Mytilus edulis: one gene and its partners. The protein of the gene in region 4 interacts with the protein of the main gene of each other region in a pairwise test. Links are inferred from orthologs where the notes say so. Each region holds a gene or a part of one and is shown on either strand. Other genes may lie near its edges.

Region 1 (8,117 bases), on a different chromosome or scaffold from region 4:
TTACTAGTACAATTTATTTGTCAATTCATAATACGTGTTTTTATTTTTGTTCTATTTTCGGAGGTCGTGCTAGACTTTTCAATTCTGTAAAAAAAAATTGGCCGCTAACCACTAAAATCAAAATGAGATCCTTAAAAAATTGTGCTTATTTTCGTTTATGCATGCTTCGGCAAATTTTATATGTTGCAAGTGAGAATCATATATTGTCACAGAGATATTAAATAATGAGTCAAATTAACAAACTAAACTCTCGCTTGAACCATAATCTTTATCTTTCCTTAAGAAAGAATCTAACTTAGACTGCTTTCCTGGTCGTGCCATGATGAAATAACCCAAATAGCGGGTAGGGCACTTCCACCTTCTTCGTGGGAAAGTGATGTAGGGATGTTTTTGAACTTCGATTATCAAAGAAATTGTTTATTAAAACTGCAACTACAATGTCACAATTGTTTTATTCTTACTGCTGAAAGCCTATGATATTTGTCATCAAACGCAGTACCGCTTTTGACACCTTCCTTTGAAGTGTAACATGTTTATAGAACTTAGACAATAGGTCAGTTGATTAGTAATCACGTTAAATAATTCTGTTAAATTACTGTTTTATATAGTAATACTTGTTTGAATGTTAAAACAGATTGAATGCGACGACATTAGGCTAGCTTTTGTCATCTCTTCGGATACTTATTACGTGCGGACAACCCATGCTTTGCAAATTTTAGGGGGGGGGGGGGGGGGGCGCACGCCCGCCACCAGAACTATATCCGCCCCGCCCAAATCCGCCCCTGCATTTAATCAAAGAGCTGATAGCTCTGAAGTGGAAGAAGGTGAATAAAAGGTAACTTGAATTACCATAAAAGCAGCCCCACTTACCCAGGCTGCTTTGTTCCATTATCGTTAAAATGTATTTTTTTTCTTCAAACAAGAAAAGGTCATAAGTACATGGATTTCCCATCCGTACAATCATTTTCTATGTTCAGTTGACTATGAAAATTAGGTAAAATCTTTAATTTGGCAGTAATTAAGAAGATCATATCAAGAGGAACACATGTGTACTAAGTTTCAAGTTGATTGGATTTCAACTTCATCAAAAACTACCTCGACCATAAACTTTATAACCAGAAGCAGGACGGACGGACAGACTAGAAAACATATTGCCCATAAATGGAGCATAAAAATAGTAAGACTTGTTACATACCTGCCAACTTTTGAAAGTTCCCATATGGGTTTTTACTGCACAACAACAAAATTAAAGGTTACAATTTTTAGCGATGTATTTTGCAAGATCTGGATTGTCTAGAAAAAGTGTCATATTTGTATGAACTTACATGACTTACATGCCTTTTCCTTAAGTCTGTTTGCATAATTCTAGTTATATATTAAATCGGTAGAAAAATTATACATGAAGCTAGCAGAAGCTAGACTATTAGCCTAGTTGCAAATATTGTATGTTGCCTTCTAACTAAACAAATTTAATATATAAACTTCAATTTAATCCTTGAAAGGAGGTCTAAATTAATAAAATAATTTATAAATTTTAATTTTTTTATTTGTCCAAAATCATTTAAATTCATTTAATTAACATCCTTTTATGATTATTTGATTAAAATATTAATCATTTATAGTCTTTTTACCATTTACATTTTTAAAAGCAAAATAACTGAAAACAGGATAAAACAAAGGGAAGTAACAAAAAAGTATTTCAATATTCCCAATACACATCGTTTTGATAACACAACGGCAGTTAGCCGGAGGTAAACATCGTTGATTACCAGTATGTTTGACACCCAAGCTGTCAAGTGAAGCCATATAATTATACATCTTCTTTGATGTTCAGGTAAAATTTAACACAGGTGTCAATTACACCCGTACAGTAGTAAGAAATGATCAAATATGGCGTCTGAAAAATTTCATACACAGGAGTTTTTTCTCCTAAACGGGAGGTTCACATGTATGTTACGAAGGGCATCTAATTCACATGACAAAGGAAACCCATGAATAAAGATAACACTTTATATATCTTTTTTATTTATATAAAAATAAAATCTTCTTGTCTGCAGGATTGCAAATTCGTAACTTCAAGGGTGAACTTGTAAACAGGGCGAGTTGTACCGATACCAAATTCACGCATGCGTAATACAAATATCTACAGTTAAAACATCCTGTTACAAGTAAACAAATTACGTTCATGTGGATGAGATGAAATCTAATAATTTACATAAATAAAAGGGTCATATTTACGATAGTGATTGTTTTACAATCATAATTTACAAATTAAATGATTCAGATGCCCAATCATGTGTAAAAATCGGTGTCAGGAATCTAAGTTGTCTTGAAATTGTAATACACGAAATGAATGCGGCATACGGAGACTCAAAGCCAATGGTCGGCCCCTTAAGTCTTCAGAAGACTTGACGTCTTCTTCCACTAAAAAATGTATGCAATCTTTTTTTTATTTATTAAAGACTCAAAATCAAAAATCAGATTAAAACTGTAATTACCTTGTATATTAGACATTAGGAAAGAGTTCCCTTCTTTTTTGCTTTTTAACTTGATGTCTTGAATTCAGATATAACCCCCTTGTCAATAGTTGTTCACGACAGAGACATATTTACCCCCCCTCTTTTTTATGGGGAAAAGTTTGGTTGATTAAGTAGGGAAAAACTGAAGTACAACGTATGACTGGAGACTGGAGTGGGCCCCTTTATTGGCAATCAGTCCCCCTTCCCTGGGCCCCTTTATAAAAGTCTTGATCTGTGTCACTGCACGAGAGGTTTGATTACCAACTTCCAGCAGAGTTTAGGCCAGGACACATTAAGAAATAAAATAGATTTTTAAGACCTCAAAAACTCAGAATTTATTAGGTGTAATATTTGGAAAGGGAGGTCATGTCAGTTTCTCTGCAATTATATGTATTACTGGTTAAAATATTTCTCAGTTGTTGTCATTATCAAACTATTGACATATATCAAAATATTTATTGTTGGATGTCATTATAGTTAAATTAGCACACCTTAAATGTCCTTGTACAATATTTGCATCCTTCACTTGCTTCAGCTTGTGATATAAAATATTTTTTTCTCTATATCATTGTATATACACATGTATACCGTTATTCTCATCAACAAATAAAAAGATATATATTTATATATAGATTCTCAAAATTCAAAGTGTTATTTGGTAAATCAGTGTGATATTTACAAAGAAAAGCATTGTAAACAATGGTATAACTACAGTTTGAGAGCCTAATTTATCATCATGTTGTTTTTTGTAAGATTGATTTTCTCACTAATGCCTGATTAAATGTGATCTGATCAGGTTGCACCATCCAATCCATATCTTGTTCTTGTTCTGTACGAATTCGAACAGTAAATGTTGGCTGCAAAGCCATTTTCTCTGTTTACTTCCCAAAAAATTTCACTTTTAAAGGGAGATAAGCAACAAGTTGAAACGTTATAAATTGTGACCTACAGTTTCGAGAGAGCCGATGTTATCCTTTTGTTTTATTTCGTGTTTTTTTTCACGTTTAAAATAACGCTTCTAAATTAATAAAAATATTTAAAAAGAGCAATATCACATAGTACAAGGTTGAAAATTATTTTTAATCAGAATAAAATGTTTAAATCCAGACTGTTCACAAGTCTGTCCGCGAAAAGACATTACATTTGCTAATTTTATGTATTATTATTAATAATTATAAAATCTTGCATTTAAAGGCTCAATGTACCTCCTATATGTGTTGTTTCTAAACATGTCATGTCTGTCATTTGTCATGAAAAAATGTTTTTGCCAACCCCCACCCCTGAATCTAATTATAAAACATACTGAGAACTCCGATTTTGTTATACTCTTATATATATCTGGAACTATTATACTAGTCCCAGCTGATATGGAGAATAGATTGTGTTTCACCATGATTTTTATTTTGAACTTTCCATTCGGTCAAGTGGTAGATTTATTCAGTGACATACATATGGCTGCATTGTATAACATAGTTGAATAATAAATGACATAATTTTGTGGTACGCAACTCCTAAGCAGAGACTAGATTTTACAAATATTATAGCAATGCATTTCTAATCATGGAGAGTCCATGGTATATGTATATACATATATAAATGTTAACAAATCTATATGGATATGTGTGTATATGTATATGTAAATTATTGTGAAATTTTTGTAATAATTCTTGATTTGAAACCAATAAAAAAAATCATTTTGTCTTATGAATTTTCAGCGTTGTATGTTATCATTCTGAAGTAACTGATACGTAGGGTGTCAACAAGAGGAGTAGAAACAACATTCACGACAGATGAGCATTAGAGTTCATGCTGCCAGGCTGTTTCCGAGCGGTCTATAATGTTGCTTTACTGAAATCAGTAGGAAGTACAGAGATCAATATCACTAGTAAACTGTTACGAAGAAGACACGATAAGATTCTCTCATAGTCCTCGTTGATACCAGTCTTACTATACAAATCCTCTGGGATAAATTCCACGTATGTTTTTGTGTAGATCATACAGTTTTCGTGGTCCAAATAGTTATAAGATCAATAGAAGGCATCGGTCCTTAACTTTATTCTTTTTGAGTGTTCAAAATGGAGAACTATTTTTATATATTGTTAATAAAATACATGTGCAATATATATATATATATATATATATCCACAACTTATCGGCAAAAAGGATTAAATAATAAACTGTTAAAAGTAAGAGAGAGTTCTGTCATGACTATGCGGTTATTCAAGACTTAAATGTAGTTTCTAAAGAAGCCGGTACTAATAATGTAAGAGGTTGTAGGTATATAAATTTTTAGAGGCGAGTATACTTTAAAGATAATCATGCAATACCACAATTAAGATTTAGAGAGGATTACGCAATTCGCGTACAACCCCATCGCATATATATTCCTTCAAGCCATGAGTGGGACGCCTGCGTTGGTTTATTGTCATATTCATTGATACAGTCATTTAGGATCATTTAGATGTCTATAAAACCACATTGTCTCCCGGTTGGTTTAATGCTACCTTAAAATATCATAAGTCTTCCCATATATTACTGGCAGGCTTAAAGGGTGACTGAGTCACCGCTTATAATAACTTGATTGGCCGGACCATGTTAAATCAAATCAGAAATCAAATCAACATTCTGTTTTTCTTATTTAGAGAATATAAATCAATAAATAAAAATAATAAATCATACAATATACAGACATACATCACATGCAACCTAATATATATACTGATTAGATTAATAACAAACATTGAAAACTATTTTTTTTTTTCAGAATTAATACACAGAGGTTAACAGGTCCATAACCAGTACAAAGAGGGACAACTCAATTTCTTAACTCTAACTTAATTTTTTTCCCCTGTCTTTTTTATATTTGAAATACTCATATTACTCATATTTGAAAGTATATTTAAAGTAATTATATGTGCGGACTTTTGCCAGCTGTTTTCAATTTCTCGATCTTAAAGTCATTACAACAGTTTATCTTTTCTTTATGACCTGACTGGCCTTAAAAAGACTACAAATGCATATATCATGCGTACATGCATATACATAATATAAGTATGCAATGTAATACAGCAGTGTTATATGTGTACTAAGCCTTAAAGGTCTCTCGGGGGAGAGGAATGACAATGATCCATCATAATTCAGTTATATAAGCATATGTATAATATAAATAAAATAGCTATAGTACAGGAATCAATGTATAATAATGGTGAAATCAGTAAAAACAATAATAGTATAAGATTACTTGAACTGTTCATTTCTTCGAATTCATTTTTTACGGCAAAAGAGATTTGGCGATTGATTGCTGGGCTTGAGAGAGAAACAGAAGAAGGTCAAACGAATCACCTTACATATCGACAGCAGAGAACATAAGTTATCCATTAATTGAAATTGGTTTTGAACTAGCTTTAGTAATTTTGAGTATTTTCCCTTTTAATTATTTTGTGTGTGTGATTAACGACATTAATGCCAATCTGATGAGTAAAGCCTTTTTCCAACAAAATTTCATAGTTTGTTCATATTGTGCTGTGTCACCACTGTACCAGTTTTAGAGAGGGTTAAGCCTTCACAAACCTGTTATTCCTTTTGTCCCTGTCCCAAGTCAGGAGCCTGTCATTTGCTGTTGTTAATTTCTGTCTTTCTTATTTGTTTGCCGTGTGCCAATTGTTTTATGATAATATAGGGCGTTGTGTTTTTCGTTTGAAGTATTTCAAATTTTGTTATCTCGAGGCTCACGGTAGTTTACCATACAGCATTGGTTTTACTCATTGTAAAGACTGTACAGTTCCCTATATAAAAAAGAAGATGTGGTATGATTGCTCATGGGACATATCCCTACAAGAGACCAATTGGCACAGAAAATAACAACTATAGGTCACAGTACGTCTTTTACCTATAGTTGTTTACACTCTCGTCTCTGGTCCCTAGTGGGTAGCTGTCTCATTGGAATTATACCACATTTCTTTATTTTTTATGTTAACATATATGAATCATTAATTCGGCAAAAAGTTGATACTATTATACCATTTAGTGAGCTGACAAATAACTGCTTGCATAAAGTAGATAAGGTGTAATGGTTCATATATATAGTTAACAGAAATTTCCAAAAATATTGTACACATAGAAAAATAGCTCTGATACTTAAACAATAGGTACATCAATTGGCCATCTCTATCAACATTTTAACTAAGTTATCTAATTACTGAAAATGGAAACTTTTGAAAGATCAAAATTATTTCAGATGTGTCAATTTTTTTTTAACTAAGATATCAAAATCCCCCCCCCCCTTCTTTTGACATTAATACTGAAATGTGCCAATGATTGAAACAACAACCCCACCAAAGAGTAGAGAATAATACATGTAAATTTAATTCCATAATATTAGTTGATAATGAAGATTTTATATTGACAGACTTTTATTTTCTTTATTTTCTAAATAAATAAAAGAAAGTAGGGGTACTGGATGTATCAGATGCTCATCCCTGTCACAAAAGGTCCGAAGTGCTCTTCCCAGTTAAAATATGGTCGATTTTAAACCGGAAAATGAATGCATATTAAACATTGAACAATCAATCAGTTATTAGTAACCTTAAATTGTCATCATAAATAAAGCTGTATGTTTGCATTGACAGTCTGTTCCGGATTTTTTTAGGTGCAATTTTACAAATTTGGCACCAAACGCCTATAATTGCTCATACTGAATTCTTACGAAAGCAAATAATACCTCAAGTAGTAATGTCTATTTTTTAGAACTATAGCACAGAATAAAATATCTTTATTCACCAAATAAAGGCACAAGGAGAGAGCAAACATAGAGTTTCATCTGGCTTACAACAGTGACGTCCAACTCTGAATAACTTACTACTTTATGTATACAGTAATAAAAGTGTTTCGAAACTTGATAATTTCGCATATTTCACGAATACAATAATACTATTGCAAAACTTGTTTTCGGGTACTTAATTAAAAAAATATTCTGAATTCAGATTTTTCCGTTACCTTATAAATAGTGTTTTAAACTTTTGAAAAATATAATTGATTGGAAGCGTGCCGTCGAAAAACTAAATAAAAATGTTTGCGCTTTGCACGTAAAAAAGATTTGGGACTCATAAAAAATACCCCCTGAAGTTAAATGGTTGCTCCCATAGATTTACAGTTAATTTGAAACCGTGCCTGTCAAACATTGAACCGTTTTGATTGGCTTACTTAGGTGCACTTGATTTCGCGCCTTTTCTAAGTCCGTGCGATTCTAAACATCTTCGTCGCAGTAAGATCAGACTTGTTTGAGTAAGTAAAACAAATACAGAAATTGTAAAATTATTGTCAAACTTAAATAACTTCCATGGTTCTACAAAATTCTTTTTGTGTTAATATATCCACGTTTGCCAAAAAAATATAATGTAAAAGATACAACTTGATGAAAAGATTCAATGACAAAAGGGGTATATACAAATTGGAAATGGTGCAAATGAAATATTTTGAATTTAGGTAATTCTTTGATAAGTGCAAATAACCAGTTGTTAAAATTGTAATCTTTTAACTATTTGCTATATAATTGATCATAATTTTCTTTGTTTATGCAACATTGAAAAATGACCCGTG
Region 2 (7,902 bases), on a different chromosome or scaffold from region 4:
AAACTCAATTGTTCCATTCATACTATTCTAACACCAACACAACCCACAAAATAAAAGTTAAAATTTTAGAACTTATAAAAAAGGATACAAAAAGAAACCAAAGGCTGAATACCAAATTATGGTCCATATGGTTCATAAGTGTTTTTTGTTTCTCGTTTTTTATGTAGATTAGACTGTTGGGTATTCCCATTTGAATGGTTTTACACTAGTCATTTTTCGGGACATCTATAGCTTGCTGTTCTGTGTGAGTAAAGGCAGAAGACCGTACTTTGATCTATAATGGTTTACTTTTATAAACTGTGACTTTCATGGTGAATTGTCTCTTTATTCCACATTTTCTTATGATATATCTATTAATACAATACAAACCTTTCACAATTTCTACAGAAGTACAACACCCCCTGTTTAGGAATACCTTCTGTTATATCAACTTGTGTTCTAAGACAAGCTACACACATGTTGGAAGGATTTGGTTCTATCTGGGTCCCACATTGACAACATAATCTGCAACAAAAAAATGAAACTTCATATGTTTCTTCATTAATATACTTAAATAATGTTTTTTTTAAATCTTTTAAATGATGCAAGAGTAAGTTACTTAGTGTATTCCGGATTTTGTCTAATGCTTAGTTCGTTAATGTGTGTGTTACGTTTTAATGTTGTGACGTTGTTCTCTTATATTTAATGTGTTACCCTCAGTTTTAGTTAGTAGCCCAGATTTGTTTTTTTCTATTGATTTATGAGTTTTGAACAGAGGTATACAGTTTTACTACTGTTGCCTTTATTTAATACCAACATTGGACCTTTATAGTTCACACTGTTACCAGTTACATTGTCAGCATCCCCCTCCTCCTTTTCTAGCAAAAAATTTGAGAGAATTTTTTTTTTGTAGCTGTCAATATTAGCAACTTTTTAATTCAGGTCAAATATTTACTTGCATTACACGTCATAATTTGTCTTAAATCAAAGGGAGAAAAATAAAGACCAAGATGATAGAGTCAAAATCAAATTTAGACTTATTTATGCCTGAGCTCTGACTGGCAGTGACTGCTGGCATGGTACTAATTCAAGTTAACAAATGGTTAAAGCAAACATTAGAAGTCAAATCAAATAAAATAATCGGTGCAAACTATTAAAAGAGAAAGTTTTTGCTGTTTTCCAATGATTTTGACATGTACATGTATAATCATGAAACAGTAAATGTTCCCCAAAAATAGTACCTATTACAGTGGTCTCGCTAGCCCTAAATAGAAGGGCGCCGCGCCCTGGGTGCCCTCAGCCGCGCCCTGGGTGCCTTCATCCGCGCCCTTCTGCCCTGACGTCTTTTTTCCAAAATTATCTTGTGCCGTTTTGGTAAAATTTTGTTTCATCGATTTCTGATCTCCAAGTTAATTACATATATGACACCTGTGTGATTGCCCCCAGCTTAATCATGTCATTACAATCAAGTACAATGATAAAGACTTCAAAGGTGTTAATAACTAGGTAATTTAATTAGGACAATGTATCTTTTTGTCATACTTTTGATGAATGTGTCAGCGAGTGTGTTTAGCTTGGGTCGGCATTTTCGATCTCCAAGTCACAATGGAAGAGCGTATATAAATGAAGACTTTCATGAATTTAGAATTGAATTGAAGTCATCAAAATAAAACTATGCCTTTACAGAAATGCCTTCCATCTCAACTTGTTAGCGACAAGCACAGTTTTTAATTAACCCAAACGTGGTGGAAATTGATTTTGGAGTTACTTCCCCTGTTTTAGCTTATTACAAATTTGTGCTCTAAAAATATTATCTAGTATCAAAAAAAGGAATAAATTACCAATTGAATATATAATAACATAATAATGTTACCTTGAAGATATTAACTGTCTTTGAACATATTAAAAAATATATATTGCAATTTCTACTTGATAATTATACTTTTAGCAATCCATGTTCTAAACATTGCTAAATTAGTAATGCTCTCAATTTCTGATTTTAAGATGTATTAAAAGCTATAATTCCTATATAGCTAAAAAAACACATATTCTTTGATAATGGGTAGAGTGAAGTTAAACTGTATAAACATAACATGTTTATGAAGATGTACTATATCATTCATAACTACACAAACAATGAAATAAAGACTATAGTTGAAAAGCATCTTTATTTAAAAAAAAAACATATACAGTAAAAAAAAAAAAAGAGAGATTCGTTAACTCGTGATACCCACAGAAACGTAGACAAAAAAATGAGCAGTGCCTTTTCTTATCATAAAAAGTGCCCTGCCCTCCACTGGCACCCTGCCCCTTTTGATTTCTAACTAGAGCACTGTATTACAAGCTTTATTTAAATTCTTTCAGTTGCTCTTACTTATCAGGATGTCATATCAAAGATTTGGTAACCTTAAAATGCTTAGTCGGGGGGGAAAAAAAATAAACTCAAGCTTCAAAAGTTGGTAAAATAAAAAAATTTCATTAATGAAAGCATGAATATATATATATGTTAGTTATATGTCCTTGATAAAAGTTGTCTAGATTCTAAACCAGTCTATTAAAATGCTACTAAACCAATCTAAGGTAGTATCTGGAAGTCTCTGGATCTAATGAAGTCCAATTAATTATGACGTCTGGCAAGGTTATTTAATTTTTTTCTAAGGCTTCCCAGAAAAAAATAAAATAGCCTTGACAGATGTCATAATTATTTGGACTAGATCTAATGTACACAGAGCACATGTAGCAGGGGGTGCCAGGGATTTGTCCGGACCCCCCCCCCCCTTTAAACAAATAAGCACTGTTAAAGTCGACACTATTGGAATTGTAGCTGTTAGTGAAACATTGAGTATAATAGGGCTCTTCACGGTTAGTTCGGCCATATTGGATAGGGGGCAGATTTTTTGGAAGGAGGTGGAAATAGTATGAAAGTGTGGGAAATCCTATGTGTGTTTCCAAGCAACAGCTCTGTTTTAATGATGTTTTCCCGTTTTTTTCACACCATTTTTACCTCTAATATGAAAATCTGCCCCCTATCCAATATGGCCGAACTAACCGTGAAGAGCCCTATTGTATTCCAGTATCCCCCCCTCTTTTTTTTAAATTCCTGGCTACGGGCCTGCAGAGGGGTTATTCTGTGCCTTTTCTGATTTTCTTACTTGATCACCTCTAGAGGCAAAATCGGAAAATTACTGTGTACAAAGAATTTTTAACAGGGACAACCCTATGAAGATCTAAGAAAGCTCAACAAACATCACTTCAGTTTACAACAGAACCCAAATTATGTCAATGATCAAGTAAAATATTGATCTTGAGACTTTCTGACAATTATCTTACATAAATCCGGTAGTACCCGGTTTACTTTCAAACGTGTATTCCATTACGATAAACTCTAAACAGTTGTTTAGATGTTAAATCTGTGACCATGTGGTGAAATCGAAATGACGTTTGACCGGAAATTCTTTGAAAAGAGTAAATTTCAAGTCGAAAAACGGTGATTTAATTTCCGTGTCTGTCGCTTTCGTGAATATATATATATATGTTCCAGACCATAAGACTTAGAGTATTTGGGTCCGACCGTACGCGTACGGTCTGACTAATATTAAGAAGTTGGTCACGTTTATCAGATACAAATGTATATAACTGATCAACATACAAACTTATATCTCAAATTAATGTAATAAGTTCAATAGTAAATGAAATAAAACAAAATAATGTTAAAACGATTTAAAAAAATCACGTTATAAAGCATAAAAGATTTATTTAAAGTCGGTTATACCAGAGACATATATATGTGTTTATATGTCTCTGGTTATACATATAACGTTGATTTAATCTGTTAATTTCCTGTATTTAGCTTTTCAGTAATTCATAAATTGAAGCCAAGTATATGCTAAGTGAAATTGAAGTTATCGGAAGTAAACTAAGACTGAGAGGACAATCGTTTTAGAATATTAAGGAACTTTACAAAAAAAATGCAAAGCAACGTGCATGAACAAATTATGTTACTGTAAAAAAAAAATATGACGTCCTTAGTGGAAGCAGAGACATATATACACATGTGTATATATGTCTGTGGTGGAAGTCAGTGTCACCTTGAGTACCAAAATAGAATTTACGCATATACAAATAAACACGTATTTAATTTCAATTGTTTGCTTAATCATTTTATCCTCATACATGTAAAACAAATATTTGTTTAAGTTTAACCCATGTGATCCCAAAACATCAGCTGGACCGTACGCGTATACTCATGCGGTCCAACCGTACGCGTATGTATGGAACGCCGTAACTGCCTTATGTGTACTTGTTTCTAGATACGCTTATACTTTTCAATATATGCACATCGTTTTTCTATATATGCACATACTTTTTCTCTATATGCACATAGTTTACTTGATATGCACATAGTTTTTCTATATATGCACATAGTTTACTTTATATGCACATAGTTTTTCTATATATGCACATAGTTTACTTTATATGCACATAGTTTTTCTATATATGCACATAGTTTACTTTATATGCACATAGTTTTTCTATATATGCACAAATATATTTTATTTTGGTCCAGGGGCCAAAACAAGAGGCCCAAATGTGTCTAAGTCATATTTCAGGCAAGAAGTTTACGAAAGTTTTGAACGGGAAGCTATAACTCCTGATATAATAAGTCTGCTTTCAAAACAAAATTTGCAGTTTTTAGGTATTCCAAACGCAACCGACATGATGAGATTGCGGGCAGAATGTGTAAAATATGGAAAATCCAAACCACAGAAAATAGGAGGATACTCTGGAGCACCAAAATTTGATATTGATAAATTAACATTAGACAGTTTGTTAGATTGTGGATTCCAAATATCCGATATTGCAAAACTTTTATGAGTATCAGAGCGCACAATATATCGCCGAATGGCTCAGTTTGGATTGTCAAAACAAGGCTTTTCAGAAATAGACGATGGTGATCTGGAAAGAGTAGTTTCGGAAACCATTAAAGATTTCCCAATGTGTGGCGAGCAAATGCTTCCACAACTGTTAAGAACGAAGGGTTTAAAAATACAACGATGGCGACTAAGGGACTGCATTCATGAAATAGATTCGTCTGGAGTTCGAGCAAGGAAAGCTGGTCGTCTCCATCGGAGAACTTATAACGTAATGGCCCCTAACCATTTGTGGCACATAGACACCAACCATAAACTAATTCGATGGCGGTTTGTAATAATTGGTGGCATTGACGGGTTTAGTAGGATGATTATGTTTCTTTCGTGTAATGACAATAACACTTCTAAAACTGTGTTGGAAAGCTTCCTCACCGGTGTTGATAATTATGGCATACCATTAAAAGTAAGATCCGACAAGGGACGGGAAAATGTTTCTGTAGCAGATTTTATGCTGACGGAACGAGGTGAAAGCGGCATGATCACAGGTCCCAGTACACATAATCAACGGATCGAAAGACTCTGGAGGGACATTTTTGAAGGCGTCTTGTGCTATTTTTATAATCTTTTCTACTACATGGAGGATCATGATATCCTTGACCCCTTAAATTGATCTACATTTGGCAGCGCTGCACTATAATTTCAAGGATGAAATTAACAGAAGACTGAATGTGTGGTCTACAGCATGGGGTTGTCACAGAATAAGGACCGTTAAGGCTACTCCCCTGCAGCTTTGGGGCTCAGGGCAAGTTCAGAACCCAGTTGGCATGCAAATGAATGAGACGGAATTACCAGAATTAGGAGTTGGAGAACAGAACAATGAAGCTACCAGAGATGGAGAAAGGCCAATTTTTCAACCCTTAAATCTTATAAATGAACAATGTAGGGAGATCCTAAATAATGAATTGAATCGATCAGGCGAGAACTTTGGTATTGATGACTATTTAAAGTCTTTGGAGATCATTTCGGCAAATAATTAACATTAACAAAATCATTAAAATTACATGTGATTTAAAGTAAAACATAGTTTTTGTTGTTGTTTTAGCATGATTAAAGACATAATATTGTTTTTGGTACTAGGAAGATTTTGTATTGATTCTGCACCTTTATCAACAGTTAAGATAACTTAGTACCTAAACTTTTCTCTATTATTCACCAGCAACCACAAAATATAGGCAATCTAGCATTACATAGCTCGTCTCAAACCAGGTTCTGATTACAGAACATATTGACATGTAGTAGTTATAAAAGTAAAACTAGAGGTATTTTATGCAATGCTCACACAGGGCTACCCCACGTACCCATCAACATAAATAGTAAATTATTCCGTATAAGGTACCCCCAGTTACAAGAGTTTGTGACCTTGACATACTTTATGTGCCTGTCCCAAGCCAGGATCCAGTGTTCAGTGGCTGTCTTGTTTTTATTTGTTGTTTTGTTTTCATGGGGTCATTTTGTCGCTGTGTCTTCCAGGTTGTTTATGTCTAGTTGCTTGCACTTTTTGTAAGGAGCCTGCTTGAACTCACTTGGTAGTGTAGGTGATGCCATTGTTGAAGACCACTACAGTGACCTTTGGCTGTTGTTTTGTGCATGTCCTTGTGCTGTTCTGTGGTGGGATGATATATCATGTGTTTTTTTCCCCCTATCAGTTCTTTTATATATAATGATGGACTAGTGTTGCAAAGTGTTCAAAAGCTGTTGTATTTGCAAAGATGCGGCATAAAAATGACATGAAATTTCATTCAAAAAGATTGCATTTTATGAACAAGTAGATGTAAATTGTAATGCATAAAGCATTTACACTTTGAGCTTAGTATAATAATACATGTACGGGTTAAGTCTTCTGTGAACTTAATAAATATGGAAATAAGACATATTTGGCACTTGCAATGTTTTATGAGGTCAAAGTCAAGTAGTATACAGTGGATTCCTTTTAATCACATAACCAATTTGTTATAGAACAAGAGGCTCAAGTGGTGAGCCTGTAACCTCACCTGGTATGCTTGGTATAGGACCTCCCATGGATGGTTCATACCAAGTTTCAGTTCATTTGGCTCTACTTTTACAGAGGAGAAGAAGTTTTAAATTTCAACCAATCAAAACATGTAAATCCTCATGGCAGCCATTTTGTTTTTAACGGACCTGGATGATTTATGCAAATTTTGTAAAGGACCTCCCATGGATGCTTCATACCAAGTTTCAGTTCAATTGACCCAGGGGTTTCAGAGGAGAAGATCAGAATGTAAAAGTTTACGGACGGACGGACGACGGACGCCAAGTGATGACAAAAGCTCACCTGGCCAAAAATGTGCAACTAACAGGAATATGCAATTATAATCAAAGCCCCAACGGTGCTAAAACTAATTGCAACTAGAAGTAGGGCTGTCGGAACGACATCAATACCCGCACCCCACATTGTTTTGAAATATTACTATTTTTAATTACTTATTGCACATCTACAGATGATGGACACTCATATGCAACAATGAAGAAGTAGTTCCAGGGACATGAGGCATGCCTGAAATATGACTTAGACACATTTGGGCCTCTTGTTTTGGCCCCTGGACCAAAATAAAATATATTTGTGCATATATAGAAAAACTATGTGCATATAAAGTAAACTATGTGCATATATAGAACAACTATGTGCATATAAAGTAAACTATGTGCATATAAAGTAAACTATGTGCATATATAGAAAAACTATATGCATATAAAATAAACTATGTGCATATAGAGAAAAAGTATGTGCATATATAGAAAAACTATGTGCATATATTGAAAAGTATAAGCGTATCTAGAAACAAGTACAAATAAGGCAGTTACGGCGTTCCATACTATGGTCGGACCATATGAGTATATGTATACGGTCCGGATCGTACGCGTACGGTCCACATACTCATATGGTCTGGAACATATAGTGATATTTTCACTGAACTCAAAAGGAAAAGACCTAAAATGCTTATATGTACTAGGGCCTATATATAACTTAAGG
Region 3 (8,421 bases), on a different chromosome or scaffold from region 4:
GGAAGAAATTTCATCAGGTATATATAGATGATATATACCATGACAGATAAACAATACATGACAAGAGAAGACACCTACATAGAATGACATGGGCATGATTTGCCCAATGTTTTAATTTAAATTCTGATAATATTATAGTACAATATTAGATTAAACATTTTATTTCTACATGTATGAATAACTTAAAATTTACATCAGGGTCAGTTACCAAGAAAACTAACTACAAGCACTATAGTACCTGCTATACCGCAGATAATTAGGTGTACAATCTATGATTGAAATATTCTACTGGAAGTCAATATCTTGTTCTGAAGACAGATTCATTTCATTGTTTGTAGTCAGGTCTGACTTATTAAGATATTACATTAGCAATAATCAGTGGATGTCTTCTGACTTCATACCACAACCAATGATTTACCTTAATTGTCTGTACATAGAACTTGACACATTTTTAGTACCAAATTAGACTTCACAAAGAATCACAAGCTTCATCTAAGTAGTACATCACATGTACATTTTGTGACATACATGTATACTCATATAGCATGTATAGTTAAAATTAAAGGACGTTTTAGAACTTGACATAGGGATAAGCACCACTTACCGGTTGGACTTTAGAATCACAAACCACCTAAGTACTACATCACAATCATGTGTCATACTCATAAAATAAGGTTGTAGAATTTACCCCTCATTTGATATTTAATTACAAGACTAACAGTTTCTATAAACATGATAAACTAATCTTCATCATGTTCAAATTTGGTTTTATGTAAAACTTGATAGGGGTGAGATCCATTAAGTAAGGCCAAATATTACAAATGTACATTTGAACCATGTAGAGTCCCAGATTCTTGCAACTGAAGATGTGACTGAATTAAGAATTTGACAAAGAAAGGAACTTAAAGTCTGATGACCACAACTTCACAAGCATGGCCAGATTTGGGTGACAGATGGACAATTTAAGTACACCATAGACCAACAAGAACAACCAGTGAGACACATGGAAAAACTTGAGTGGTATAATGAGAGTTTCTACTGGTGAATGTCTTATTATTTTTTTTGGAAATTTTACCTATTCCCCATCAAAGAGACAACCTGAACTTATACAAACAGACTATGCTGATATAGGACATATACAACTAAAAACCTTTACTTGTTTTGATGTACAGAGAAGATAGCTGCTTTGACATGTACAGTTCATGTATATATACATGTATGAATTGTCACATACTGTAGATGAAAATTATAGGCAAATGGTTGCAATGTTGCTTTCAATCCAAAAACAGTTGATAAATTTCTGATACATTTTTGTAAAAAACTTTGTAAAATGCATGTCAATGGAAAGACTGCCTTTTGACCATGAACCCCAGTGGACCTGTCAACAAAATAATCATAGACATACATAAAGGGGGTCCAAAATGTATTGCCAAGTTGACAACCTACCTGCTAGATTCCTGTAACAGAAGATGGGGTTGTATGTAGAACTTGACACGGAGATGAAATCTATGAGCCCTCATTTCAGACACTTGCTGATTAATTCGGTTCCTCATGTTCAGCCAAATTTTTTCTCCTTTACTGCCACTAAATTGTAAGCCAAAATAGTCATATTCAAGGATTCCAAGATGCTGGCAAACCTAATTAACAAAAATAAATATATTAGAATGCATTACAACATTGAAAGGAGAGAAATAGAGGTAATCTAAATACTGTTGAATTATAATTGTCCACAGGCTGGCTAGATACATGTGTTTACAGAGATAGTTTGTGAATTACTTACTGTTACACAGTTACAACCTCAGATAATGTGCATTGTGTGAACTATTTAGGTTCCATAAATCAAATTACTTTCTACCCAGTATTTTTGTAAGAACAACTAGTTTTCTACTTGTACTTTAGTATATTCAATGTTACTACAGTTCAGTAACTGAGAAACAGCATGTACATGTTAATCATCATTAGAAGGAGGCTAATGTAATTACGGTGTCTCCCTGTCCATATATAGTTTGCACCTAAAAAAATACTGAGGAAAGCTAAAAGAAAGTTTAATTTGGCAATGACCAGCACTACCACAATTTAACCTTGCAATGCATGGCACAATGCCAAAAAAATTAACTGCTATGAAGATTTTACAGAGATTTTACAGAATTGGAAGAAAAAATAATTGTCAAAAAAATCAATGATTCTGTAAACAATTCCGAATTATCTCACAAGAATCTGGTTATTCCAGTTTTGGTCATACAATTGATATTTATAAAACTAAACAAATTAATTTACACAATTAATCAATACATAAAATAGGTTGCACGTTTAAGAATATATACATTCACTTGGAAAGATGTTTTTATCTTTTGGTCAAAAAAATTAAAAATACAATTATTTTATCATGTTTATGATAAAAAATGTATAAAATAAAATATTTTTTTCTGTTCTATTATCTTTTCATATCTTGACTTTAAATCTTATGTTGCAAACTTGTGTTTCTTTCAGTTTCGGAAACCCATTTCTCTTTTATAGGACAACCCATTACACATGTACTTGTTTATACTTTTGTGTATTGATTTTTCTTTTGTCAAGTCAGCTGATCAAAGTCAAATCTTCTTATTGCATCAACCATCTTCAGTCAATCACAAAGAAATTAGTCTATTACAAACAAATCTACGAACTCGGGTGAAATTTCTTAGAAATGTAATCAACTATAATGATTACAACATACATGGTAATTTTGACAGGTAACCGCTACGGGTTGATTGATCCTTTGTTTACATCCGATCACAGATTGGACTTTGGACCCTGCATGGCCATCTTCGATTTTTATGTACTTTCCCTTTGTCAAAGGCAATTTTACAAAGCAGACTACGTTTTTGCATATATAACAAGTTTCCTTATAATCATCATCAAACCACACTTAATTTATTATACAAATATTGCAGAAAAAATGGAAATTTTCTAAGTTTTCTCCAGAGAGAGTGGAATACATTTATATAGGTCACGTTCGACCTTACCTGATCTAAGCATTCTTGTCCATTCGCTCGAATATCCACATCGATTTCAATCACAACACTGTTCGGTAACACTACTGTAAATATCATTTTGTTCAAATATGCTTCTTTACGCTTAAAATGTCATTTCTTCTCTTAGAATCATCTCTTGGACGTGTTGCTATATTTGGAATCGTTGATCACATGGACTTTGACCGAGGTTCATTTTAGAAGCATAGATTCTGCGCGAACGCCTTATCCAATCAAAATAATGATAAGGCGGTAACATTAAAAACATCAACAATCCAACCACGTGTAGAAATGTCACAAATAGTTGCAATGCATCTATATTATATACTATTTCCAGGTATTACTGAATTTTATTGCAGTCAACTATGATTGCTACTATAAAATATTTTATTGCAGTCAACTATGATTGCTACTATAAAATATTTCATTTGCGTTCAAATTGATTTTCAAAAATACCATATATTATGCGAATATAAAAGTTAAACTTTATTATCTGCCGTGTGCCTAGTATTATGATCTATTATTCAGTCTAATTTGTGCTATGTCTTTCATATTCTTATTTTGCATACTATACTTTTAACGTTTACATGTCATCTATGGTATCTTACTATGTACTGTTTGTTCAAAATTGTATGTGGGTATTTATTTTCTATTTCAGTCGATTTAAAAACGGCTCACTGACTCAGAGATATTTTATAAAAGAAGATGTGGTATGGTTACCAATGAGACAACCCTTCACAAGAAACCAAATGACACTGAAATTAACAGCTTTATGACACCGTATGGCCTTCAACACTGAGTAAAGCCCATACTGACCGCATAGTCAGCGATAAAAGACTCCGAAATCACAAATGTAAATAACATCAAACGAGAAAACTAATGGCCTAATTTTAATGTACAAAAATGAACGAAAAACAAATATGTAACACAGGAACAAACGACAACCACTGAATTACAGGCTCATACATACAGAATGTGGCGGGGTTAAAAATGTTAGCGGGATCCCGACCCTCCTAACCCGGGACAGTGGTGAAACAGTACACCATTAATATTAGAACGCATGATCTATAAAAATCAGTTGAAAAACGCTCAACTCATTAGATGGATACAAATTTTAACCAAAAAAAAAACATCGAACAAAAACACAGAGTGAACGTGACGGGTACTTGTATATCCCAACAACAAAAAGATACAAGTACAGATCTGGGAGCTAAAACTGTGTTCAGAGCTTTGAAAATGATAGAACCTAATTAAGATCCGTCTCAAAAACAATGTTTTAGTTATTCGGCCAAACACGAAAATAACAGCTTCAATCATGATCACACCTCCAGTAAGTATGCATCCGCATATTTACCTTTCTCATTAGAAAAGAAGGCTTTCAGATTTACTAAACGACAATTTTTAATAAATAAAAATATTTAAAATTTATGTTTAATAAGATTTTGTAAAGTGTAGTAAATGTTTGAAAAGTCAAAACTGTCAGAAGAATAAAAATGACCATCAAAAACACGTTATTTAATTAAATGTGCCAGTCTCAGATCAGGAACTTATACTGTCTGACTTAGTTATCATTATGCATTGAGATAATTGTTTGAGTATATATCAATGAGACAGCAACAAAACGACACAAATACACGAATTGAACTCTGTTCAAATTACGATCTGTTATCGAGCTATTTGTATCTAAATGTATGCTTCAAACGAGTTACAGTAAGCCGGATCAGAGTTTTAATCAGATTGACCAAAAGATAATGCATTATGTCAAGATCTAAATAAACCGGTCACCATCGTCCTAAGTCAACAAAAAAAGTTTGGACATTCAGTCAAGTCGGATTATGAAATATGAAGAACCGCATATAATTATTGCCTTTGTAAATTGAATTATTGTAACATATTTTTTATATAAAAGAAGATGTGGTATGATTGCCAATGAGACAACTATCCACAAAAGACCAACATGACACAGACATTTACAACTTTAGGTCACCGTACGGCCTTCAACAATGAACAAAGCCCATACCGCATAGTCAGCTATAAAAGGCCCCGATAAGACAATGTAAAAACAATTCAAACGAGAAAACTAACGGCCTTAATATGTGGTCAGTTGAACTGCCCAGTAAGCCTTGCACGGTAAACTATACGTAAAAGTGGTCATAGTAATTAAAGTCTGAGGAGTCGGGGGTAGGTACAGGATGAGGTCAGTTGAACTGTCAAGTATTTCTGGTCATTTTTGTGATCTATTCAAACGTCCAATAATTCTGGTCATTTATGTAATTAGTATGTCTGTTGATTCATGTGGTCTGTTGGTGTATGCGGTGTGTTGAACTGTACAGTAAGCTTGGTGATTTATGTGGTCAGTTGAACTGTCCAGTATGTCTGTTGATTCATGTAGTCATTTGAAATGTGCAGTATGTTTGGTGATGTATGTGGTCAGTTGAACTATCCAGTATGCCTGGTGATTTAAGTGGTCAGTTGAATTTATGTGGTCAGTTGAACTGTACAGGTTAGTTGAACTGTCCAGTATGCCTGGTGATTTATGTGGTCAGTTAAACTGTCCAGTATGCCTGGTTATTTATGTGGTCAGTTGAAATGTCCAGTATGCCTGGTGATTTATGTGGTCAGTTGAACAGTCCAGTATGCCTGGTGATTTATGTGGCCAGTTGAACAGTCCAGTATGTCTGATTTATGTGGTCAGTTGAACTGCCCAGTAAGTCTTGTGATTTATGTGGTCAGTTGAACAGTCCAGTATGCCTGGTGATTTATGTGGTCAGTTAAACTGTCCAGAACGCCTGATTTATGTGGTCAGTTGAAATGTCATGTATGCCTGGTGATTTATGTAATCAGTTGAACTGTCCAGCAAACCTGGTTTATTTATGCGGTCAGTTGAACAGTCAAGGATGCCTGGTGGTTAAGATGGTCAGTTGAACAGCCCAGTATGCCTGATTATTTATGTGGTCAGTTGAAATGCTTTTTGAAAATGAAAGTAGAACAGGAGGGGGAAAAACAGCTAAGCTAAATAGTTATGTCCAGTATGCCTGGTATTTATGTGGACAGTTGAACTGTCCAGTAAGCCTTGTGATTTATGTTGTCAGTTGAAATGTCCAGTATGCCTGGTAATTTATGTGGTCAGTTGAATTGTCTAGTACGCCTGGTGATTTATGTGGTCAGTTGAACTGCTCAGTAAGCCTGGTGATTTATGTGGTCAGTTGAACAGTCCAAAATGCCTGGTGATTTATGTGGTCAGTTGAAATGTCCAGTATGCCTGGTGATTTATGTGGTCAGTTGAACTGTCCAGTATGTCTGTTGATTCATGTGGTCAGTTGACATGTTCAGTATGTTTGGTGAGGTATGTGGTTAGTTGAACTGTCCAGTATGCCTGGTGATTTATGTGGTCAGTTAAACTGTCCAGTATGCCTGGTTATTTATGTGGTCAGTTGAACAGTCCAGTAAGCCTGGTGATTTATGTGGTCAGTTGAACTGCCCAGTAAGTCTTGTGATTTATGTGGTCAGTTGAACAGTCCAGTATGCCTGGTGATTTATGTGGTCAGTTGAACTGCCCAGTAAGTCTTGTGATTTATGTGGTCAGTTGAACAGTCCAGTAAGCCTGGTGATTTATGTGGTCAGTTAAACTGTCCAGTATGCCTGGTTATTTATGTGGTCAGTTGAAATGTCCAGTAAACCAGGTGATGTATGTGGTCAGTTGAACAGTCCAGGGTTCCTGTTGATTTAGATGGTCAGTTGAAATGTCCAATATGCCTGGTGATTTATGTGGTCAGTTGAACTGTCCAGTGAATATGGTGATTTAAGTGGTCAGTTATACAGTCCAGTATGCCTGGTGATTTATGTGTTCATTTGAACATTCCAGAACGCCTGGTGATTTATGCGGTCAGTTGAAATGTCCAGTATGCCTGGTGATTTATGTGGTCAGTTGAACTGTCCAGTATGTCTGTTGATTCATGTGGTCAGTTGACATGTTCGGTATGTTTGGTGATGTATGTGGTTAGTTGAACTGTCCAGTATGCCTGGTGATTTATGTGGTCAGTTAAACTGTCCAGTATGCCTGGTGATTTATGTGGTCAGTTGAACTGCCCAGGAAGTCTGGTGATTTATGTGGTCAGTTGAACAGTCCAATATGCCTGGTGATTTATGTGGTCAGTTGAACAGTCCAGAACGCCTGGTGATTTATGTGGTCAGTTGAACTGTCCAGTGAATTTGGTGATTTAAGTGGTCAGTTGAACAGTCCAGTATGGCTGGTGATTTATGTGGTCTGTTGAACAGTCCAGAACGCCTGGTGATTTATGTGGTCAGTTGAACTGCCCAGTAAGTCTGGTGATTTATGTGGTCAGTTGAACAGTCCAGTAAGCCTGGTGATTTATGTGGTCAGTTGAACTGCCCAGTAAGCCTGGCGATTCATGTAGTCTGATGTACTGTCTAGTATGCCTGGTGATTTATGTGGTCAGTTGAACTGTCCAGTAAGCCTGGTGATGTATGTGGTCTGTTGAACAGTCCAGGATGCCTGGTGATTTAGATGGTCAGTTGAAATGTCCAATATGCCTGGTGATTTATGTGGTCAGTTGAACTGTCCAGTGAATCTGGTGATTTATGTGGTCTGTTGAACAGTCCAGTATGCATGGTGATTTATGTGGTCAGTTGAACAGTACAGAACGCCTGGTGATTTATGTGGTCAGTTGAACAGTCCAGTATGCCTGATGATTTATGTGGTCAGTTGAAATGTCCAGTATGCCTGGTGATTTATGGGGTCAGTTGAACTGTCCAGTATGCCTGGTGATTTATGTGGTCAGTTGAACTGTCCAGTAAGCCTGGTGATTTATGTGGTCAGTTGAACTGTCCAGTATGCCTGGTGATTTATGTGGTCGGTTGAACTGTCCAGTAAGCCTGATGATTTATTTGCCAGTTGAACAGTCCAGTATGTCTGATTTATGTGGTCAGTTGAACTGTCCAGTATGTCTGATTTATGTGGTCAGTTGAACTGTCCAGTATGCCTGGTGATTTATGTGGTCAGTTGAACTATCCAGTACGCCTGGTGATTTATGGGGTCAGTTGAAATGTCCAGTACATGTATGCCTGGTGATTTATGTGGTCAGTTGAACTGTCCAGTATGCCAGGTGATATATGTGGTCTGTTGAACTGTCCAGTAAGCCTTGGGATTCCTGTTATCATTTATTCATGTACAGCACTACTGCAAATGTTTCAGGAAAATGGCTATTGCGATCTGTTATAAATTATTTTTTTTGTCGGAATATATATATAGGATTCTTTTCTGATTTTGATGCAGCTTCTGGAAAATTTTTCTCGATTTTACGAATTCAGCAAATGATTCTTGGAAGAGACTGACCAACTTGTGATCTGTGCTTTGGTTTTGCGCCAATTGGCATTCCATTTGCGCCAG
Region 4 (8,298 bases):
AATTCAATTACAACAAAATTTGAAAGGCATTGATTGAACTGTTCATTACAAGTACATCATGAAGTTATTTAGATGTCTTAAAACTAAAACAAATCTGAAATTCTGTATTTTGCTTGGCTGTTCCAAGATTTTTCCTTTCGTACATTTGGTCAGCTCTATGAAAGCAGTGTACAAGGACAGTATACATGTACATACATGTACCTATGTTTTTGACCGTTTCATCTTAACACACTGTACTTTTGGTTTCATAACTGGTCACTGTCTGATAGGAATCAAACTTTTTACTGGTCAGTGGACAAATAAATGGACCTACCGTCTGACAATTACACTGGACAGATGGTGGTAATCATATCTGGTCTGTGGCTATATATCTAATAGGAATCATAATTTTAACAGGTCAGTGGATGAATAAATGGACCTACCTTCTGACTAGTACACTGGACTGCTGATAATCATTTCTGGTCAGCAGCTGTCTGTCTACTGGACACTGGTTTTGTATACACAGGTAATTCTCTAGGCATTTTGTGCAAAATGTATGACTACATTTAGTGTCCACAGGATTAACTAGAGGTTGAAGACAGATGTGACACATCAAATCTTCATCAACAGCTTGATAGTAGTCAAACAAATGGTTTCCATCCCCTTCATGGAATTGCCCACAGTTTGGACACACAGTTTGTCCTTGATTTCTGAATTGGCTGACTGTCAAGGTCAAAGCAGAATCATTTTCATAGTCATGATATGACAGGGCCATGCTACTACACTCGTCTCAGATTGTCAGCTCATTCTTCCTTCTGAAAAATTATACGAAATGTGTTACTTAAAAGTATGTATCAACAGAAACTTCTTCATTGTACCTTATAACTCTTCTATAATTAAATACATCCATTATTTGATAAATATTCATATTGTATGTCAAAAAATAAATTAATTTTCAAAGTTTTTTTAAAAACAAGAGTTCATGTGCTGAAATGTTTTGCCTGCTTTAATTATAGTTATTCAGAACATGAAATTCTGATACATTTCTTATGATCTCAAAAAGTTTTAATTTTAAAATGAAATGTTGCTACATGTACATGTAAAGTCATTAATCAGCAATGGTAAAATACATAACAGAAAATGACCTTCACAAATCAATAATGACACAATTTTCTAATCTGATAAAAACTTAATATTTTCAAGAATGAGGTTGCCCATTCAGAAAACAAATTCAAAACTCATTGTTCACATTATTATTTATTTTAAAGAAAAGGTCAAAGGGAAGTAACTTTTGCTCATCTATTTATGCAGCAGCAAAACTCTGTGTTGAACCATGCTATTGACACAGTAAAATGGTATTGTTGTACAAACATTTGTTATATATATACAGCCATTCATTGACTGAAGTGTAATGAAATTGCATGAAATAATTGCCACTATAACTTTAGCAAGCAACATCATTCAATCAAGAATGGTATAAAGCCTTAAAGACATAAATAATATGTTAGGATGGTAGAGTTTTTACATCATCTAAGTCCAAAATGCACTGTTATCTCCCTATTTGTTATTGTATCCATCTCATGAATTATATGTAAGACTTTTTCAACTGATTTTAACAGTTCGTTATTATGTTGTTTGGTTACACCACTGTGACACTGTCCCAGGTTAGGAGAGGGTTGGGATCCCTCTAACCATGCCACATTTTGTACATGTATGTGTCTGTCCTGAGTCAAGACCCTGTAATTCGGTGGTTGTCGTTTGTTGCTGTGTCACATATTTTTTTTCCTTCATTTCTTTGGTACATAAATTAGACCATTAGTTTTCTCCTTTGAGTTGTTTTAAATTTGTGATTTCAGGGTCTTTTATAGCTGACTGTATACATGCTGTATGGGCTTTGCTCATTGGTGAAGTCTGTATGATGACCTATAGCTGTTTAAAATTTCTGTGTCATTTGGTCTCTTGTGGAGAGTTGTGTCATTGGCAATCGTACCACATCTTTTTTGTTTCATGCATTTTAAATGTTTTCTTTTACTGAAATTTATCAACATGCATTAAATGAGAACATGTCTCACACAGTTATTCATATACACAAACAAAATTTTTCATTGACACTTCTATAAGGCAAACAAAACAGTCATTCAATTATGAATTTCAAAGAAGTTTTTAATTTTATTAAATCATAAATAGAAGGCATTTATCACATTTAAATTTTCATTGTGAAAAATGATGGCAATTAATATATGACTATAATCATGATAATTGATTACATATTGCAGTGTAAAATATAATTAAACTAATTTGAACAATCATGGCGTTGACCATACTTATACTACATGTACATTTTGACAATGAGCAAAACTAATACCGGTACAGACTAGCAAGCTAGCTATAATGGCTATAAAAGACTTCAACATGACAAAATGTGAAATATTGCATAAACAAAACCATATATTATATTGGTCTGCCATTAAAGGCATTACAGACTTTGTTGTAAAATTTTCATGTCATATCAGAGACTGGCCACAAACTGATGCCCCCACACTCCACACTGAAGTAACTGTATTATAACTAAGTCAATGTGAGACTTTCTTTGAGATATTATTGTCTGAGAAACACAAATGATGCCCCCACAGATCCAAAGATTAATTTTAAAATACACAAAAGTGAGCAATGGAGCACATAGGTTTATTTTTCACTGTAGGAGGACCTCTTATTCAAGTATACATGTACATTGTATACTCCAAAGATGACAAAGTTCAACTATCTCCCAAAATAGCATGTAGAAATCAAAACCCTGACCACATGAACACATTCAAAAATATGTAAAAAAAGCCAGCAAAGTGAAAACTATATACCTAAATTGGGACAGACGGGTGGAAATTAGTACAGGCGATCAGACAGGGGTAAAACAATATGCCCCAGAACTTTTAGTTGTGGGGCATAAAAATGAATAAAGATTGTAGTTCAACTGTTACAAATTCTCATTTCTCAGATTCCTTATGTATATATGTTTCTTTTTGGAACCATAAAGCAAACTACAGGATACCTCCTAATGGAAAAATGTGAAAACTCAACATCCATACTAAAAATAACTCAAATGAGGAGAAGAAAAGAAAAACAATTACCGTCACACAGTAGCCAACGACAACCACTAGAACACAGACTTCTGGATGCAGACAGGCACATTAAAAGAGTGTTTGGGTAAACTAAAACATGTCTGTTAGTGCTTAACCATTCTCACAACCTTGGACATTCCTTTGTAGTTCCAAAGACATCAACATTAGTTTGGAGTTGTGCAACAGGTCTGCAATAAACTCTTGCTGGCATTGTTTGTTTTGAATTGTCATTTGTTACTGGATGTTAAACAAGCAAGAATCAATCATAAAAATGAACATGTACCAATCCGCAAATTGGAATAAATTTCTATTCAGACTAGTCTGTATTTTAATATATAATTACAGCAACTTTTAACAATAATAACAGACATTACATATACCTGAATAAAATTATACAACTTTTCCATTTGATCTGAAAATTAGGCGTGGCTTTTGTGTGTATATTATTGTTGTCTTTTGATGTGAAATCTATTTTTGGTGATTCATGCAATATGCTTTCAGAATAAACAAACTTCCGAAGGTTTTCACATTATGTACTGAGAAGATCTAGAGAGAGCCGAGTTTTATTTTTTTTTTATCAACAAAACTGTTTTATTTGTAAAAGCTGGCTGGTAAAAAATGTATAAATCACTGTTTAAAACGGTATATATAATGTTAATTCAACTGTATGACTCCAAGCTCTACTTTTATCAGGAATATATTTTTTTCTAATGCTTTGCGGTGTCTGGTTTTTAAGTTTTATTTCCCGAAATAAACTGCGATTTGTGACAGGGAACCAGTTGTTGGTGTTCCTAAGTTTAGAGTCAAATAATTAAAACACGTATAAATCCGGAAAAGATGAAGAAATAAAATAGTTTACAGTAAAATAGAAACACGATGATTAAAAAGATAAAACGGAATAGACAGTTGAGTGAATGAACGAATTCCTTATGATATCCACATGGTAAATCATCGTCAATCAGTCAATTAATCAATTAATTAATCAATCAACTTTAATTAATCAATCAATCAATTAAGCAACCAATCAATCAATCGTGAATGTATGAATGAACGAACGAATAAATGAATCTATCAGAATAAATCAATCACGAACGAGGCCGAATAAACGAACTAGTAATGCCCTTTAACGTCAGGCGTCAAACAGTCATTTCGGCTACCGTTAGCGTCAAATTGATTAAAATAAGTGTACATTTTATCGTCATGTATATATATACCAAAAGTTACCGTTAACGTCATTTGGCAAGAATTTTTACCGTTATTCGTCATGAAGTTACCCCAATTACGACCCTCAAAAACGAACGGCCGAACGAACAAATGAATGAAATCGGCTCAAGGCGACTGAAAATAAACAAACACAACTACCAAATACATATAGTGTTACAAGCGACGCACTAACATATACATACCTGTCAACCTGTGATGATGAAAATGCAGGTCATGACCTGCATTGAAGAATCAAATCTCAGGTCATAACGCGTACGAACTTTTTCGAGCTGAATTTCAGTATTTATGGTACATTTTCTTATAATGTATATCAAAGATACCAAAACATCAATGCATGTTCACTTGCCTTGGTTAAGTCATTTTATATCTTATTTATTAATATTTCATTATACTTTTAAAGATTTTTATTAACTTGTGTATCACAGTCTTATGTCATTTACTTTTTGTCAACATCTAAAATTTATTTTTCAAATGTAATTTTAAAATGAGACTACTGGCCTTTGAACATACCATGTAGAGGTATTACATGTATGAACATTCATCACTCAATACAACAAATGGAAGTTTTTAACGACCTTGACTGGCTATACAGCCCTCCCTCAATTGCCAAGGAAATTAGACTATGAAAAAATATAGTAATACAGTTAAAGGAAGTATAAATGTAAAAAATAATTTTCAACTTTTTTTTAAAAATTGTATAAAGGTATAAAAATAATGAAAAGTTATTTTTCAATATGTATTTGAATTTTATATTATTATGATTTTAATCTTTTTCACCCATAAAACGTAAATATAATGAATAATTTTGAATGGTGACAAATAAGGGGAAGTAACTCTTAGTTGAAATATCTTTGTAAAACAACAGGGCAATTTATTTACGACCTAAAGCTAAGGTAATTGGTGTTAATCAACAGTGTGTTTGACACCAAAGCTGTCAAGTGAAGCCATGCACTTAATTTGACAGTTTACATAGCTAGATGAACTGCATGTTTATGGAAGAATTACGAATTTGCCGGTATTTCAAAAGAAATACGGGTGAAATCGGGTCATTTTCGGAATTTCCGGGTTATTTCAATGACCCGGCGGGTGATCCGGGTGATCCCTCAGAATTGTGAAAATCTCGGGTCACACCCGCAGAGTCCGGGTCAGTTGACAGGTATGCATATATCTTTTAAAAGCTATAAAAACATATCCAAACTTTATGGGTCAGTTACGAGTTTTCTCATTGTTGAAGACCGAATTAATCAAATTGAGCATGGAAATGGGGAATGTGTCAAAAAGACAACAAACCGACCATAGAGATGCTGGCCCCTAAACAAATATGTATACTAGTTCAGTGATAATGGACGTCAAACTCCGAATTATACACAAGAAACTAAATTTGAAAATCATACAAGACTAACAAAGGCCAGAGACTCCTGACTTGAGACAGACGCAAAATGCGGCGGGGTCACATATTTTTGAGATCTCAACCCTCCCCTTATACCTCTAGCCAAAGTAGTTACTTATAATGACTTAATAATTACCGTGGTACCCACTTCATTTGAACTTTGGTGGATATCTGTCCTTTTGGCAATGATACCACATCTACATACTATAAAGTTTAACAGATTGACCAGAGAATAAGGGCCGAGTAATTGATACTTTGAACGACAATTCAAAGTCAATTGGCAAATATTTCAATGACCTACAGAACGAGAATTGAAAAAAAGAGAATAAGAATGAATCTATAGGTAGAAATTTTGAAATGAAATAGGATCATCTATAAAGAGCTCTCAGTGAGCTAGAGATTTTTGTAAATTTAATGCACCCACATTTCTTATGAATATTTATAAACATTTCTATGATAACAAATTGTTCTTTGATGCTTAAAAAAGGAATGGCGTTTTAAGGAAATGAATTGCACGACATATGCCAAGAGTTAGGGATCACTACATGAACCCGATGCAAGACGTTTTAACGGCAACACTTCCGGTTCGGGCATAGTCGTTTCGGCCATACGTTGTGAATTCGTTTCTGTATTTTGTTTGCGGGGTAAAAATCGCATTTGTGTTAACAATCGAAACCCCGTATGTGGCTTGCAAAATGTTGATTTCTTCCAGGGTTTATTACTACATTTGATATATAGATAGAGTAATATAGAGCAGTGAAGTGACCATTCTATAGAAAATATCCAGGCAATATTGATTTCATGCACTTTATTGATATATTATGAAGATATGAAAGTTTACAAAATGATATATATTTGAACAACCAGTCAAGAAAACAGTTTTATTAGAAAAAAGTTTTGCATTGTGCATTGATGAATCTACAATGTTACAATTATGCACAAAGGAAAGTAACTTCAATTCACTACATGCTTGATTTCAAGTTCGATGCAAAAAAGCAATCTAAACTTTTTAGGCAGTGCGCATAAGCACTTTGAATTTTTACAAGCCTATATATATTGAAATGAAGGTACATATAAATATTTCTACTCACAGACATGAAGAAACAAATGAAGAAAAAATACATAATCATGTATAGTTTGACTTCTATAAATTGTGACTTGGATGGAGAGTTGTCTCATAGGCACTCATACCACATCTTCTTATATCCGTATAGTCATTTGTATTAATGTAGGTGTTATAAAATTGAGAATGGAAATAGGGAATGTGTCAAAGAGACAACAACCCGACCAAATAAAAAACAACAGCAGAGGGTCACCAACAGGTCTTCAATGTAGCGAGAAATTCCCGCACCCGGAGGCGTCCCTCAGCTGGCCCCTAAACAAATATATACTAGTCCAGTGATAATGAACGCCATACTAATTTAAATTGTACACAAGAAACTAAAATTAAAATAATACAAGACAAACAAAGGCCAGAGGCTCCGGACTTGGGACAGGCGCAAAAATGCGGCGGGGTTAAACATGTTTGTGAGATCTCAACCCTCCCCCTATACCTCTAACCAATGTAGAAAAGTAAACGCATAACAATACGCACATTAAAATTCAGTTCAAGAGAAGTCCGAGTCTGATGTCAGAAGATGTAACCAAAGAAAATAAACAAAATGACAATAATACATAAATAACAACAGACTACTAGCAGTTAACTGACATGCCAGCTCCAGACTTCAATTAAACTGACTGAAAGATTATGATTTCATCATATGAACATCAGGCACAATCCTTCCCGTTAGGGGTTTAGTATCATACCATCATAACATATATGAGAAGAACATAACCCGTGTCATGCCAACAACCGTTTTTAGAATAAATGTGTTTAGTTCCGATGCAAAGACCTTATCAGTGACTCAATATTAACGCCAAAATATGCAATCTTTAATGACTTGACAACAGTATCGTAATTATATCCCTTCTTAATAAGTCTATTCAAAAGTTTTGTAAGTTTCTGAGGTGAATACTGACACCTTTGTGCTTTATAAAGAATATTTCCATAAAAAATTGGATGTGTTATAAGAATATTTTGAAAGGGCGAATATCAACAAGAACAAAATAAAGTGTCAGATTAACGGGAGCCGGTATGCATGTCGGATTAACGAGATTTCGAAATATCAAAACGAGATAAAAAGCTTTAGGGGTATTGACTCTCGTGTTACCTCTTCTTCTTCTTTTTCTATTAGCTGAAATAAATCCAATGAAGTTTTATTTTAATTAATGTTAATTTAAAGTTGGTTTCTCTGAAGGCACCAGCATATAATATATCGATTTTTTTTAATATACCGTTTGGCTTTTTTTTTATTTACGGCATTCAGTTTGTATACTCTTATTTACATTTGTGTATGTTATCTGAAAAATCAGTCTGGCGACTATAAGTACATAGATATACATGTACAAAACTTTTTACTGGTCAGTGGACAAATAAATGGACCTACCGTCTGACAATTACACTGGACAGATGGTGGTAATCATATCTGGTCTGTGGCTATATATCTAATAGGAATCATAATTTTAACAGGTCAGTGGATGAATAAATGG

The links.
Region 1: the proteins of ligand of Numb protein X 2-like (region 4) and dual specificity mitogen-activated protein kinase kinase 5-like interact in binary tests that used the Homo sapiens proteins (3 or more experiments, as listed by UniProt). The link is inferred for Mytilus edulis from reciprocal best matches to the Homo sapiens genes LNX2 and MAP2K5.
Region 2: the proteins of ligand of Numb protein X 2-like (region 4) and 60S ribosomal export protein NMD3-like interact in a two-hybrid assay, tested with the Homo sapiens proteins (3 studies listed by BioGRID and IntAct). The link is inferred for Mytilus edulis from reciprocal best matches to the Homo sapiens genes LNX2 and NMD3.
Region 3: the proteins of ligand of Numb protein X 2-like (region 4) and E3 ubiquitin-protein ligase MYLIP-like interact in binary tests that used the Homo sapiens proteins (3 or more experiments, as listed by UniProt). The link is inferred for Mytilus edulis from reciprocal best matches to the Homo sapiens genes LNX2 and MYLIP.

The regions. Positions count from the first base shown.
Region 1 is NC_092347.1:75,251,633-75,259,749, forward strand, and holds the start of dual specificity mitogen-activated protein kinase kinase 5-like, read right to left. Parts: upstream 3,439-8,117; 5' UTR 3,389-3,438; coding exon 3,287-3,388; intron 1-3,286. UniProt on the Homo sapiens protein: Acts as a scaffold for the formation of a ternary MAP3K2/MAP3K3-MAP3K5-MAPK7 signaling complex.
Region 2 is NC_092355.1:7,239,175-7,247,076, reverse strand, and holds the start of 60S ribosomal export protein NMD3-like, read right to left. Parts: upstream 3,447-7,902; 5' UTR 3,354-3,446; coding exon 3,310-3,353; intron 505-3,309; coding exon 370-504; intron 1-369. UniProt on the Homo sapiens protein: Acts as an adapter for the XPO1/CRM1-mediated export of the 60S ribosomal subunit.
Region 3 is NC_092348.1:310,803-319,223, forward strand, and holds the start of E3 ubiquitin-protein ligase MYLIP-like, read right to left. Parts: upstream 3,212-8,421; 5' UTR 3,093-3,211; coding exon 3,006-3,092; intron 1,638-3,005; coding exon 1,447-1,637; intron 1-1,446. UniProt on the Homo sapiens protein: E3 ubiquitin-protein ligase that mediates ubiquitination and subsequent proteasomal degradation of myosin regulatory light chain (MRLC), LDLR, VLDLR and LRP8. Activity depends on E2 enzymes of the UBE2D family.
Region 4 is NC_092350.1:40,601,268-40,609,565, forward strand, and holds the start of ligand of Numb protein X 2-like, read right to left. Parts: upstream 3,614-8,298; 5' UTR 3,476-3,613; intron 802-3,475; exon of another isoform or gene 795-801; 5' UTR 755-794; coding exon 423-754; intron 1-422.